2 linked regions of the Ovis aries genome follow. Each later gene encodes a partner of the first gene's protein in a complex. Links are inferred from orthologs where the notes say so. Each region holds a gene or a part of one and is shown on either strand. Other genes may lie near its edges. The genes, in order: NADPH--cytochrome P450 reductase and HMOX1.

Region 1 (6,948 bases):
AACTTGGCCTTTGGCAACAGCAGATCAAGTTTCCAATCTGGATTAACACCAAGGCCCAGACAGTTGTGTGACCTTGGACGGCTTCTGTGAATCCTTGTAAAGGCACCCTCTTGGGGTTTGGGTGAGGACGAAATGGGCTAATGGATTAAGTCACCGAGTTTATATATTGGTTCCCAGGGACCAGGATGTCCTCCTCTTTCCGGTTTCCTACAGACAGACTCCCTCCCAGCCCCCTTCCCTTTGTTCCTTTCTCTGTTATGCAACCAAAGTTTAAATCCTTCCCGGTTTGAGGCCAGCTGCCGAGCAGATGGGAGGGTGTCTGTGTAACGGGAGGTTTCGAAAGTCCCATCTTTCCTGCCTCCCTCCGCATTTTTGTCCACGTGCAGCTGGAACAAGACCTTTGCCTGCTCTCCTCAATATTACGAAAAGTCGGGTGTTTATGTTATCTCCTGGCTTCTGCTCCAGCGGTCACCATGGCAACCAGAACCCAGTGCCGGCCATTGAAAAAGCCTCTGAGGAGGAGCCTGCTTGGTTTGCATTAACATTCAGTTCGGACAGCTCTTGTTGAGAGCATCTGCCTCATGCCTGTGCTGAGCAGTCACTAAGCAGAAACGGGAGTGATTTAGAGCTGGTCCCTGACTTTGAGGGGCTGGCCAAGATATAGAACGTCTCGGTCTAGTTCAGTGACTCTCAAAGTGTTGGCCCTCAAACCAGGAGTTTTCCCATTACCTTTGAATTGGTTTGAAATGCTACCTTTCAGGCTTCTTTCAAGGTCTACTAGGGTGGGTAGAGGGGGTCCTGAAATCTGGGTTTTAACAAAAGCCCCCTCCCTGTGATGGTGATGGAGGCTGGAGTTTGAGAACCGTAGATCTAATTAAAACCTCACCCCATCCCAAGAACTGGGAACTATTGTTCCCACGTCATAGATGAAAAAACAGAGGCTCTGCCCTGCTCTGTGTGCAGACTAGCTGACAGCTTGTGAAGGGGTTGGGTTCTCAGATCCCTTCCAGTGTCAAATTCTGCCTCTGCAGCACCTGTGACAAGGTGAGGAGCAGGTGTTCTTTTTCCTGGATCCTGGCTGGAGAAACAGAGAGGTACCTTATTCTCTGCCCAGCAGGGTCAGGGCCAAGCGACAACGCAAGTGGAAATGGGAAATCACAACGGAGGGAAGAAGAGCTGGGAGTAGGGTCCGAAAGAGCAGCAGCAGCCCTGGTGACAACCACCCGCCCCAAACGTGGGGACACTGAACTGACATAATACCCTGCTGCCCTCATAGCCGAGATCATCCAGGCATCTAAGCCAGATCCTCAGTCCTGAGGCCTCCTCTCCTGCGTTCACTCACCTGCACGCTTGGTTGGGCTCTTTCCACGCTTTTGCCCCTGCAGGCTCTCAGGGTCCCCTCTTACACTGCATCTGCCTGAACACCCTCTCCCCAAAGATGGAATCGCCTCTTCGGCAACCAATGGCCTCCAGCTTCTCTCGGCCCATATCTCATGACTGGGCGCTTCCTGCCTGTTCAGAGAACCCATCCACCTTTGAAATCTCTGATGGGCTTAAGTTTCCCTTTAAGTGAGCTGACATCCATCCCCGTGAAATATCCACCTTTTACAATATAAGTTAGTCTAATCCCCCGTAACAGAGATCACAGGCTTATTTTTAAAGTAAGGCGATCCTTGCCAACTATTTCCCATAAACCTACCACCCGCATTTGCAGATTAAACAAAGCAGGTAGACGATATCAACACTTTCGCTTGAAAACAGTGAGGTGGGAGCAGAAAGGGACAGGCTGAAGGATCAGAGGCGCTGGAGGGAAAAGTCACTGACTTGGATGCTCCGTCTTACCACTTCTTGCCCAAGAGACCCTGGCAGGACCGCAGCAGTTTTCACAGGAGCCCCCTTCAAGAAAAAGAGCACAATATTGCAAATATGATTTCCCAGAACTTGTTTCATTTTGTTGAAATCAGTCACAGATGGATGGTTTGTAATGACAGAAAAGGTAAAACTTAGCATGTCTTCAGTGATCGTTTTCACATACTTTATTGTTTCAGCAAATGGGAATCTTGAAGCTTAAGTAACTTGAGTTTTGTGGAAATCTGCCCCTGACTCAGGGCCTCAGTTTCTCATCCTATCCCCCATCCAAAGTTGGTTTGAGAAATGAGCTAAAGGAAGGTGAAACCATCAGCTGAGATGTTAGTGTGGCCTCTGATTTCTAAAGATGAATGCTTGCAGCCTGGGCATGAGGGAAGCTGGTTGATTATTCCTGTTAATAATCAAGAGCACCAGATGGGCAACCCAGATTAGCATTCTGCCCTGGGGAGGCCTCAACTGGAGCTCCAGGACCAAACCAGTAGAACCAGTAAATTCAGGGAACTAGCTCTCTTCCTACCAGAAAGGAAATGCTTGTGCAGATCCATAAGGACAATAACAGGATTATTTTAATCTTAATCGTTTTGGCAACTCTGGCTCTGTCAAGAGAAAGGCTGTGGTAGCTCAGGAAATTTAAAAAAAACTCTGGTTTCATTCCCCAGAACGTCTTTTTCAAGAGGGATGAGGATTTAGCAGGAGAAGGAAGGAGCGCTAGAAACTCCTGCCTTGCCTTGGGCTGCCCAGCCAGCCTGCAGCCCCTTGACCACCAACCCTGCTTTGCAGAGGGTGTCTCCTTCTCCTCTCCCTTTTTATTTTTTATTTATTTATTTTAACATTTTTTTGATGTGGACCATTTTTTTTAAGCCTTTATTGAATTTTGTTACAGTGTTGCTTGTTTTAGGTTTTGTTTTTTTGGCTCAGGGCATGTGGGATCTAGGTGGCTCAATGGTAAAGAACGCACCTGCCAGTGCAGGAGATACGGGTTCGACCCCTGGGTTGACAAGATCCCCTGGAGGACGGCATGGCAACCCAGTCCAGTACTCTTGCCTAGGAAATCCCATGGACAGAAGAGTCTGGTGGGCTGCAGTCCATGGGGTCACAGAGGATCAGGCACAACAGCTGCTTGTGGGATCTTCGTTCCCTGATTAGGATTCGAACCTGCACCCCCTGCACTGGAAGGTGAAGTCTTAACCACTGGACTGCCGAGGGAGTCCTCCTGTCCCCTTTTTAGAAGGTCTCCAGAGGACACCCCAGCTCCTGGCCTAAGCTGGGGGGATCCCCCATTGCAGAGGCTGCTGGTGCCTGCCCCCCTGAGAGTTGAGGAGCTTCCCAGGCTGCAAGGGGAACCCCATCTATCTCTGTAGTGCTGCTTGCAAATGAAGCTTGTTCTCATCCCCCACCCCTTCCTGGGTCTTCTAGGGCAGTGACTTCCAAACCCTTAGGCAGAGAAATCCCTGGACACCATGCATGCCAAAGAGGCCCCTTCAGGAGGCCAGGGGTCAGGCAGGCGAACACATTATCACTCTGCAGGGTGTCCCAGAAGCACAGAGCTAGAGAAATTAGGGCTGGTTCCCCAGGGACTCAGCACCACACCCTTCACAGTTCTGGCCTGCACCTCCCCAGGCACGAGGGCATCCACATCCTCTCTAATAAAAATGCCTGCCCGGGATGCCCTAGGGAAGAAGGAAGATGACCATGAAGACCTGGGCCCCCACGAGGCCCTGAAAATTGATCCAAAAGTTGCCAGTCCTTGGCTTGGGGCCCCAAGACTGGAAGTCTGAAGTGGCTGCAGGAGGGGATGAAGGTGAGAAAAGGTGGTGTGAGGAAGAGGGTGGGGCACCCACATCCAGGCCCACCACAAACCGAAAGCTGAGACGGTCCACCCAGAGAAATCTTTAAGATCATCCCAGGCCACCTCCCTATTGTACAGGTGAGAAAACTCAGATCAGAGAGGTCGCAGCACTTGTCCAACGTCACACAGTAAATGAATGGCAGGGACGGGACTAGAGCCCTTGCTTCAGCAGCTCTATCCACAACTTCCCCTGCTGTACCACCAGGCCTGGGCACAGGCTGGGGACAAGTCCCGCACCAGCTCCTTCCTCTTCCCTTCCCTTCTCACACCGCCCCCCACCCCCAACCCAGTCTGGGACAAGACAGACCCCAGCCAGCTACTCCACCTCCTCATTGAGGCTTGGTTTCAGCCACCCTGCCTTTAGCTACCTGTCTTGGTTCTGGTTGACCTGCCAAGTACAGGCAGCCTGCTCTCTGCCCTCCTTGCCCTGAACCTGGCTGCCCAGGAGGGCCGAGGAAGGGTGAGGCAGCAAGGCTGCCACCTCCAGTGTTTAGCCTCTGGCCCCTGCCCCCTTCCTCCTGCCCTGCCCCATGCTGAGAAGACACCCACCTGGGCAGCTGCAGGTGTGGATGCCCTGGACAGGGCCAACCGGCCAGGCCAGCTCCTGGGCTGAGGCACCGTCCTGCCTTCCCAGGGCTTGAGACCCATGGTGGCCTTTTATGGAGTGGAGAGGTGTGGTGTAAGGGATTAGGGGTGGAGCCCAGGGTACCTATATCTAAAAAACGGCCCCACCCCGAGTGCTCCTGCCAGGCGCTGGAATCAGAGCTGGTTCCAGAATGGTTTGTGCCTTGGTCAAGGCCCTCATCCCTTACAAAACAGCACAGATGCCCCATCCAGCCAAGCCCAGCCTTCCTGTGGGACTGGTCAGGGCCCAGGCGAGTGAGGCCAGTTCGGGACATGCAACCTGCCCTTGTACCCTATGGTCCTCTCTTGGGGTGACTCAGAACTTTGCACTGTGAGCCACGCAGATATGACTGTCCCCACCTACTCTGGGAGCTTGAACAAGTTATTCCACCTGCGGCCCAGTTTCTTCACTCTGAAATGTAAATAATAATACGTACTTCATAGGATTGATGCAGAACCTAGCACGTAGCTATTCAATCACTATTTGAATGAATGAATGAATGAGATGACTACAGTGGACAAGGGGTCTGGAAACCCATCCTTAGCAACCTTATTTCCTCACATCTCACCTTGCTTGCTCTAGACACGCCAAAGTCTCTCTCATTTCCCAGCTCCTTCTGTAAATATGTCCCACGTGCTCTCGCGATCAGGCTGTGACTCCCTTCCAGTGTGGAAGGTGGCCTCCCAACAGCCTCTGTGCCCAGACAGTCTCCCCCATGGCACCTGGCTTAGGAGTGACCCATGACCTGGTTCTGATCAAGGAAACAAGGAGGGGAGTTCTTCTGAGGGGGGGGCACAGAGGGGGCTCCCAAGAGCAAGACCTCAGAGGACATGCTGCCTCTGTGACTCTGGATGTTGTCATGCCCACTGGTGACATGGGCTCTCTGGTAGCCCTCATGCAGCCGCGAGGAGAACTGGCCAGAGGACAAAGCCAATAGTGGTTCCTGAACTGCCGGTCACACCGTGCCAATTGCCCACCTGCTTCTGGACTTCTTTCCATGTGAGATAATGAAGGTCCTCATTCGTTAAGCCAGTTTGATTTGGGGGGTTTTTTTCCCACTCACAGCTGAATGTATCCGGCCTGATCTCTCCAGCTCCTACCTGCACATGCACCCAGCTCCGGGTTTTGTTCTGAGGACCCCAAGATGAACCAGGCTCTGTGTTTGCCCTGGGGAAGCTCATAGTTGTGAAGAGGGGCTGGCAGGTAATTAGATGGTTACAAGCTTGTGAGCAGAGGTTGAGAGTATCTGGAAAGGGACAAACTGACTGTCCTGGGCAGTAAGAGAAGGATTCTGGGAGATGGGTTTTGAAGGATGCCTAGGAGTTTTACAGACAGATGAAAAGAATGTCTTCCAGGCAGAGCTAACAAGGTCAATGAAGGGGTATAACTTTGCTTAGAGAACATCAGTTCAGTTCAGTTCAGTTCAGTTCAGTCGCTCAGTCGTGTCCGACTCTTTGCGACCCCATGAATCACAGCATGCCAGACCTTCTTGTCCATCACCAACTCCCAGAGTTCACTCACACTCATATCCATCAAGTCAGTGATGCCATCCAGCCATCTCATCCTCTGTCGTCCCCTTCTCCTCCTGCCCCCAAACCCTCCCAGCATCAGAGTCTTTTCCAGTGAGTCAACTCTTCACATGAGGTGGCCAAAGTACTGGAGTTTCAGCTTTAGTATCATTCCTTCCAAAGAACACCCAGGGCTGATCTCCTTTAGAATGGACTGACTGGTTGGATCTCCTTGCAGTCCAAGGGACTCTCAAGAGTCTTCTCCAACACCACAGTTCAAAAGCACCAATTCTTCGGCGCTCAGCTTTCTTCACAGTCCAACTCTCACATCCATACATGACTACTGGAAAAACCATAGCCTTGACTAGACGGACCTTTGTTGGCAAAGTAATGTCTCTGCTTTTCAATATGCTATCTAGGTTGGTCATAACTTTTCTTCCAAGGAGTAAGTGTCTCTGAATTTCATGGCTGCAGTCACCATCTGCAGTGATTTTGGAGCCCCCAACAATAAAGTCTGACACTGTTTCCACTGTTTCCCCATCTATTTCCCATGAAGTGATGGGACCAGATGCCATGATCTTAGTTGTCTGAATGCTCGGTGAGGCTCAAATTAGGCCCATTGAGGAGTGGTGAGCAGAGACTGAACACCTCACCCAGGAGTTGTTCCCAGGAGCACACACAGGAGTCTGTGTACACTGGGGAGCCAGTGAAAGCTTCCTGCAATGTGTGCATCTTGGATCAGAAGAGCCTGGGTGCTCAGGAGAGACGTGACCGAGATCTTGCCTGGGTGGGGACAGGAGGGTGAAATGGGGGAACTGGTGAAAGAGGTGTTCTAGAGGCCCAACCTTGGGCCTTGGTGACTGAGGGAGAGAGTGAGAGTGGAAGGGGAGGGAAACATGATGGCTGGATTCCTGGTATGTGAGGAGGAGGAGTGACTGTATAAGTCTTGGAGGAGAGAACTATGGTAGCCAGTCTCCAGGATGGCCCCCAACGATCCTGTGCCCAGACAGTCATGCCATGCGTAGCTCCCTTTCACACTGTTATCAGGAGACTGAGCGACGGGACCACGAACATAGGCAGAAAGGGTGATATGTGAC
Region 2 (5,879 bases), on another chromosome or scaffold:
GGAATACCCAGCATGATTTCCTTAAGTGCCCGTTGTATTTGAGGCATGAATTTTTGCTATTACCCAGCACAGTTGTGAACTTCATAACAGGTAGAAGGAAAGCATGTGAGAAAAGAACCTGGCAGGTGCTGGGTGTGAGGAGAGGCTTGTTTGGGTTGAACAGTGTGCGTGGGGAGCTGTGGCTCACCACTCCTGACACCCTGCCTTTGCGTACTGGGAGACGCCCCCTACTTCCAACAGGAGAGGTGCTTCAGTGAAGGGCGATTTAACCTGCAGCTCTAAGGGGCTCACAGCCCTGGGCTGTGTCCTGTGGGTGTGAGGCTAGCCCTTACTCCTTCGTTCTGCCCTCCACCCACGTGAAAAAGCTGACATACACTTGCTGTAACGTGACTGGGGCAGTGGGAGTGGGGAGGTGGCCGCTGGAGTACCCCATGCCCAGCCACTGTACGCTTTGGAGCTTCCTTCTTGGCCCCTGAGTTCAGAGTCTGCACAAAGATCCAGGAGAGGACCCAGTGCTCGCTCAGATTGTGCTGATGGAGGTAGCGTTTTTTATCATCACGGTCCAACTTCAGTGCTGACTACCAGGTCGCGCCTAGTGCTTCACCTCTGCCATCCTCCCTGATCCCCATACCTGCCCCATCACTCTGTGGTCAGATTACCCTTCTACATAAGGAAGGGAACCTTGTGCAGAGTCACCCAGGCCCCAGATTGCCTAGAGAGGGTGAGTGGTATTATCCACCGTCACCCAACCAGGGACTGGCCGAGTGGAGTTAGGACCAGGTCGGTCACAGTTGAAAACCCAGGCTGCTCTGTACCAGGCTGCCTGGGTTTCTGCCCTGGTGAGAGACAGTGCTCCCATGAATGATTAAAGGTTCAGAAATCACCTGAAAACCTCAGCCGGAACATCTAAACTTTGTCCTCTTTCTAACTCAAAACTAGAAAATTAATGTGTAATGGGAGTTACCCGAGCCAAGGGGCACTGGGCTGTCTGTCCCCCAGCCCAGCTTTCAGAGGTGATGGGGTTCAGAGGGGTCTTCTGGGGAGAGCTGTGCCCTGCAGATGGATCCCCAGAAGTCAAAAGCCAGGGAGAGGTGCCTGGCATCTCCTGTAAGCACTTTCATTCACTTACTTTCTCCAGAAAGCCATGCCTGTGCTTGGCTCCATTTCTGTTTCTTACTAGCTTTGTGACTTCTGTGTCTCATACCCTCTCTGAGCCTTAGTGTCTTTTCTGTAAAATGGGCATAGCCATTCCTTTGTTAGATTTTTCCAAGGATGAAATGAGGATTCGTATTTTTTCCAGTGTAATAAAAGGTTTTTAGGCTCAGACAGTGCACGATGAAAATTTTCTCCTGTGACACTTTCTCTGGCTGCCACGTGGGGAGGATTGGAGGGGCTGGCAGGAGGTGGGAGCCCAGCCTGGGGAGGTGACAAGGATGACTCTGAAGGCGATAGTGCGAAGGGGCTGGGTGCTCTGATAACCACCTACTTGCTCTGGTTTCAGCTGGTGATGGCATCTTTGTACCACATCTACGTGGCCCTGGAGGAGGAGATCGAACGCAACAAGGAGAACCCCGTCTATACTCCCCTCTACTTCCCAGAGGAGCTGCACCGCCGGGCCGCCCTGGAGCAGGACATGGCCTTCTGGTACGGGCCCCGCTGGCAGGAGGCCATCCCCTACACACAGGCCACCAAGTGCTATGTTCAGCGACTCCAGGAGGTGGGGCGCGCCGAGCCCGAACTGCTGGTGGCCCATGCCTACACCCGCTACCTGGGCGACCTGTCTGGGGGCCAAGTTCTCAAGAAGATTGCTCAGAAGGCCCTGAACCTGCCCAGCTCTGGGGAGGGCCTGGCCTTCTTCACTTTCCCCAATATCGCCAGCGCCACCAAGTTCAAGCAGCTGTACCGCTCCCGCATGAACACGCTGGAGATGACCCCCGAGGTCCGGCAGAGGGTCCTGGACGAGGCCAAGACCGCCTTCCTGCTCAACATCCAGGTGAGGGTCTGGGCTGTGCTGCGTGGCCACCCTGCCTCCAGCTGCTCTTCCAGGGACATTTCTCGCAGGGTTGGGGGCGGGGGGCGTCAGCGGTCATGGTTAAGGGCAGGGGCTTGGGGTCCAGGGTTCCAGTTCTGTCACTTACCTGGTGGGGTGATCTTAGGCAAATCTTTATCTTAATCACTTTGTACTTCAGTTTCCCTATCTGTAAAATGGGGATATAATAGCACTTAGCTCACAGAGTTGTTGTGACTGCTTAAATCAATCAAGTCCCCAAAGCAGGACATGTTACAGGGTCAGCCCTCGAACATTCAGTTCAGTTCAGTTGCTCAGTTGTGTCTGACTCTTTGCGACCCCATGAATCACAGCACGCCAGGCCTCCCTGTCCATCACCAACTCCGGGAGTTCACTCAAACTCATGTCCAGCGAGTCGGTGATGCCATCCAGCCATCTCATCCTCTGTTGACCCTTCTCCTCCTGCCCCCAGTCCCTCCCAGCATCAGGGTCTTTTCCAGTGAGTCAGTTGTTCGCATGAGGTGTCCAAAGTATTGGAGTTTCAGCTTCAGCATCATTCCTTCCAATGAACACCCAGGACTGATCTCCTTTAGGATGGACTGGTTGGATCTCCTTGCAGTCCATGGGACTTTCAAGAGTCTTCTCCAACACCACAGTTCAAAAGCATCAATTCTTCGGCGCTTAGCTTTCTTCACAGTCCAACTCTCACAACCATACATGACCACTGGAAAAACCATAGCCTTGACTAGACGGACCTTTGTTGGCAAAGTAATATCTCTGCTTTTCAATATGCTATCTAGGTTGGTCATAACTTTCCTTCTAAGGAGTAAGCGTCTTTTAATTTCATGGCTGCAGTCACCATCTGCAGTGATTTTGGAGCCCAAAAACATAAAGTCTGACACTGTTTCCACTGTTTTCCCATCTATTTCCCATGAAGTGATGGGACCAGATGCCATGATCTTAGTTTTCTGAATGTTGAGCTTCAAGCCAACTTTTTCACTCTCCTCTTTCACTTTCATCAAGAGGCTTTTTAGTTCCTCTTCACTTTCTGCCATAAGGGTGGTGTCATCTGCATATCTGAGGTTATTGATATTTCTCCCAGCAATCTTGATTCCAGCTTGTGTTTCTTCCAGTCCAGCGTTTCTCGTGATGTACTCTACTCTGCATATAAGTTAAATAAGCAGGGTGACAATATACAGCCTTGACGTACTCCTTTTCCTATTTGGAACCAGTGTGTTGTTCCATGTCCAGTTCTAACTGTTGCTTCTTGACCTGCATACAGGTTTCTCAAGAGACAGGTCAGGTGGTCTGGTATTCCCATCTCTTTCAGAATTTTCCACAGTTTCTTGTGAGCCACACAATCAAAGGCTTTGGCATAGTCAATAAAGCAGAAATAGATGTTTTCTGGCACTCTCTTGCTTTTTCGATGATCAGCGGATGTGGGCAGTTAGCTACGGTTATTGTACGATGTGAGCATCACCATTGTGGCACTCTGTGACAACTCCCTGTGACGACATACAAGTAGGCTGTGTGCTCATATGTAGCCAGGTTGGCACTGCAGGGTTCACGGATGCTGCAGACCTGGCCTCCGCCATCTGGGCCTCTCAGCCCAGCCAGGAGGCGTGATCTGTTCTTTCTACAAGTGTCTCAAATCCAGGGGAAGATGGGTTTTGCCTTGAAAGGTGATCTCTTAGGCAGAGCCAGGGTGGGTGTTCCCAGTGGGGGTGAGATTCCTTCTAACCCTGATGTTGTAGAATTCTGTCGCTCTCCTCCTATCTGGAGGCCCTGTGGGAACTGGGCTCTTAGTTTATGCTTTCCTGGCTCCTTATTCCCAGCCTGGGATCCCAGAAGAGATTGGTCATAGCACTTGCTATTGAGCAATGTGCGTCCTTTGCATACCACTAAAAACCCAGCACACCTGGTCACTCTTCTAAGAAAAGCTGTATCTTTCAGAAAGGTGGTGTAGAAAGAACAGGCGCTCTGGAGCCAGAGCCCCATGGGAGGGCTGGCCCTTTCCGTGTGACCTCTGGGTTAGTCACCACCCAGGCACTGAATTTCTGGAGCAACAATGTCCTGGTCTGTAACCCTGGCTAATGAGTACCACAGAGCCTTGAGTGCCTGCTTGGGTACCACTCAAGACATGGTAATTTGCAAAGGGACCCAGCATACGGGCATGAGTGGCCATTCAGAATGGCTGTTATTGGGGAGCATTTGGAGAAGACCAGACAGGCGAGTTAATGAACTTGTGACATCTTATGTCTTAAGCTGGATGTTCGGTATTTTTACTGTGATTCTGTTCTGTCGTGCTATTTCACAATGAAACCTCAGACCTCCCATCAGCAGGCGTGGCCCCACCTTTCATGGAGACGTGCGCTTTGTTCTCTTGCAGCTGTTTGAGGAGTTGCAGGGGCTGCTGACCCAGAAGCCCAAGGACCGTGATCCCTCGCAGGGACCAGACCTTCACAGGCGAGCCGGCAGCAAGGCACAAGGTGAGGGCCTCCCGGGGGGCGTGTGTGGAGGGCACGTGGCCCAGCCGTCTGGTTCTGGTGTCTCAGACTCTTCTGTCTTCTCCAGGCTTTATATGGGAAGTCGGGGGTGGAGCCAGCCTTCACCCAGATGACCCCCTGCACCTCAGTCTCCCCATTCTAGAATCAGGGGGGTTGGGCTGGTTCTAGGTCACTTTTGAGTACTCAAAGGATACTCTGAAGTCATGGCAAGTCCTCCCCCCCCCCCCCCCCCCCCCCACACACACACACTGTAGGTCCCTTGGGGGTCTGTTAACAGTTCCCGAGCAGAGACCCCCTGACTTGGGGCTAGGGGCCCAGGGCAGCTTCTAGCTAGCCCCCCGCTGTGGATGCAGGGTCCTGTCTTGGGTTAGTCCCTCCCTCAGGCCGCTCAGCGAGCTCGCTAGGGGGTGGCAGTGCTGAGAGAACATACGGGAAACTTCCAGAGCACCAGAGTGCTCCACAGATGTCCCCTCCCTCCCTGTGGCGAGAGTGTGGCTTGGGGAGTGAAAGGAGGGGAGGGGTGAAGCTCGGCCACCTGGTTGGCAGGTCATCTCAGGCCTCTGCTCCTGGTGCCACCATAGCTCACGTGTGCCAGGACTACATGGACCCCTCTGTTGGTGGGGTTTTGCAGGGAACACTGGAATGTGGCCATTCCTGATGAGATTACCCAGTGGGGGTGGGGGACTTAGCCCTAACACATCAGTTCTCAAACTGTGGTAGCCTGGGTACCCCTGGAGAGTACTTCTCACAATCTGCCTGAAAATGGAAGAGTGGACAGCTTGGAGAGAAGTTAAGTCAGCTCCCTGTCTTAGGAGGTATCCAAGTAGTGGTTAGAGGGCTACTGGTTTGCAACTAGTGGGGACTTTACTAGACCCTGCTGAGGCGCCTCTGATGTGTTTTTCTGTGACGTCAAATGGCCCTGCTTCCATCTTCCAGGAGTTGACATCATCTGCCTTTTCTTTCAGACTCGGCTCCCGCCAAGGCGCCCAGTGGGAAGCCCCAGCCCAGCGTCCTCTCCCAGGCACCTCTCCTGCGATGGGTCCTCACACTCAGCTTTCTGGTGGCCACGGTTGCTGTGGGGCTTTATGCCATGTGAATGCGAGTGTGCTGCCTCCTGGGGGGCCGTGAAAACTGTTCGTGGAGTGGGGCAGCCTCCTGGCTGGCTTCCTTCCCTTGAGCTTGGGGCAGGGGGCAGCTGTCAGGGCTCCTGCTGTCTCCCTGCGTCCCTCCCTTCTGGATAAAAGGAGCCTGAGACATCTCCACCAACCCAGAGTACATCCAGTCAGTGACCTGCACTTCAGAGTGGGGCACGGGGTCTTCCCTGGCCCCTCAGCACTCTCCCCTTCCTGTTCCTGCAGCAGAGC

The links.
Region 2: the proteins of NADPH--cytochrome P450 reductase (region 1) and HMOX1 are in contact, whole or in part, in a crystal structure (PDB 3WKT), measured with the Rattus norvegicus proteins. The link is inferred for Ovis aries from reciprocal best matches to the Homo sapiens genes POR and HMOX1. Residues at the interface, in NP_113764.1 of Rattus norvegicus: Thr88, Thr177, Asp208, Asp209, Arg313, Arg514, Lys515, Gln517, Arg519, Leu520, Phe522, Lys523, His626, Lys665, Met667, Thr668, Lys669, Gly670, Tyr672; in NP_036712.1 of Rattus norvegicus: Asp12, Ser14, Glu15, Gln38, Ala75, Pro76, Glu81, Lys149, Ile150, Lys153, Ser171, Asp173, Asn174, Thr176, Lys177, Phe178, Lys179, Gln180, Leu181, Arg183, Ala184, Arg185, Asn187, Thr188.

The regions. Positions count from the first base shown.
Region 1 is NC_056077.1:34,589,374-34,596,321, reverse strand, and holds the start of NADPH--cytochrome P450 reductase, read right to left. Parts: upstream 4,351-6,948; 5' UTR 4,268-4,350; intron 1,897-4,267; 5' UTR 1,843-1,896; intron 1-1,842. UniProt on the Homo sapiens protein: This enzyme is required for electron transfer from NADP to cytochrome P450 in microsomes. It can also provide electron transfer to heme oxygenase and cytochrome B5.
Region 2 is NC_056056.1:179,237,001-179,242,879, forward strand, and holds part of HMOX1 (heme oxygenase 1), read left to right. Parts: intron 1-1,501; coding exon 1,502-1,993; intron 1,994-4,397; coding exon 4,398-4,497; intron 4,498-5,480; coding exon 5,481-5,611; 3' UTR 5,612-5,879.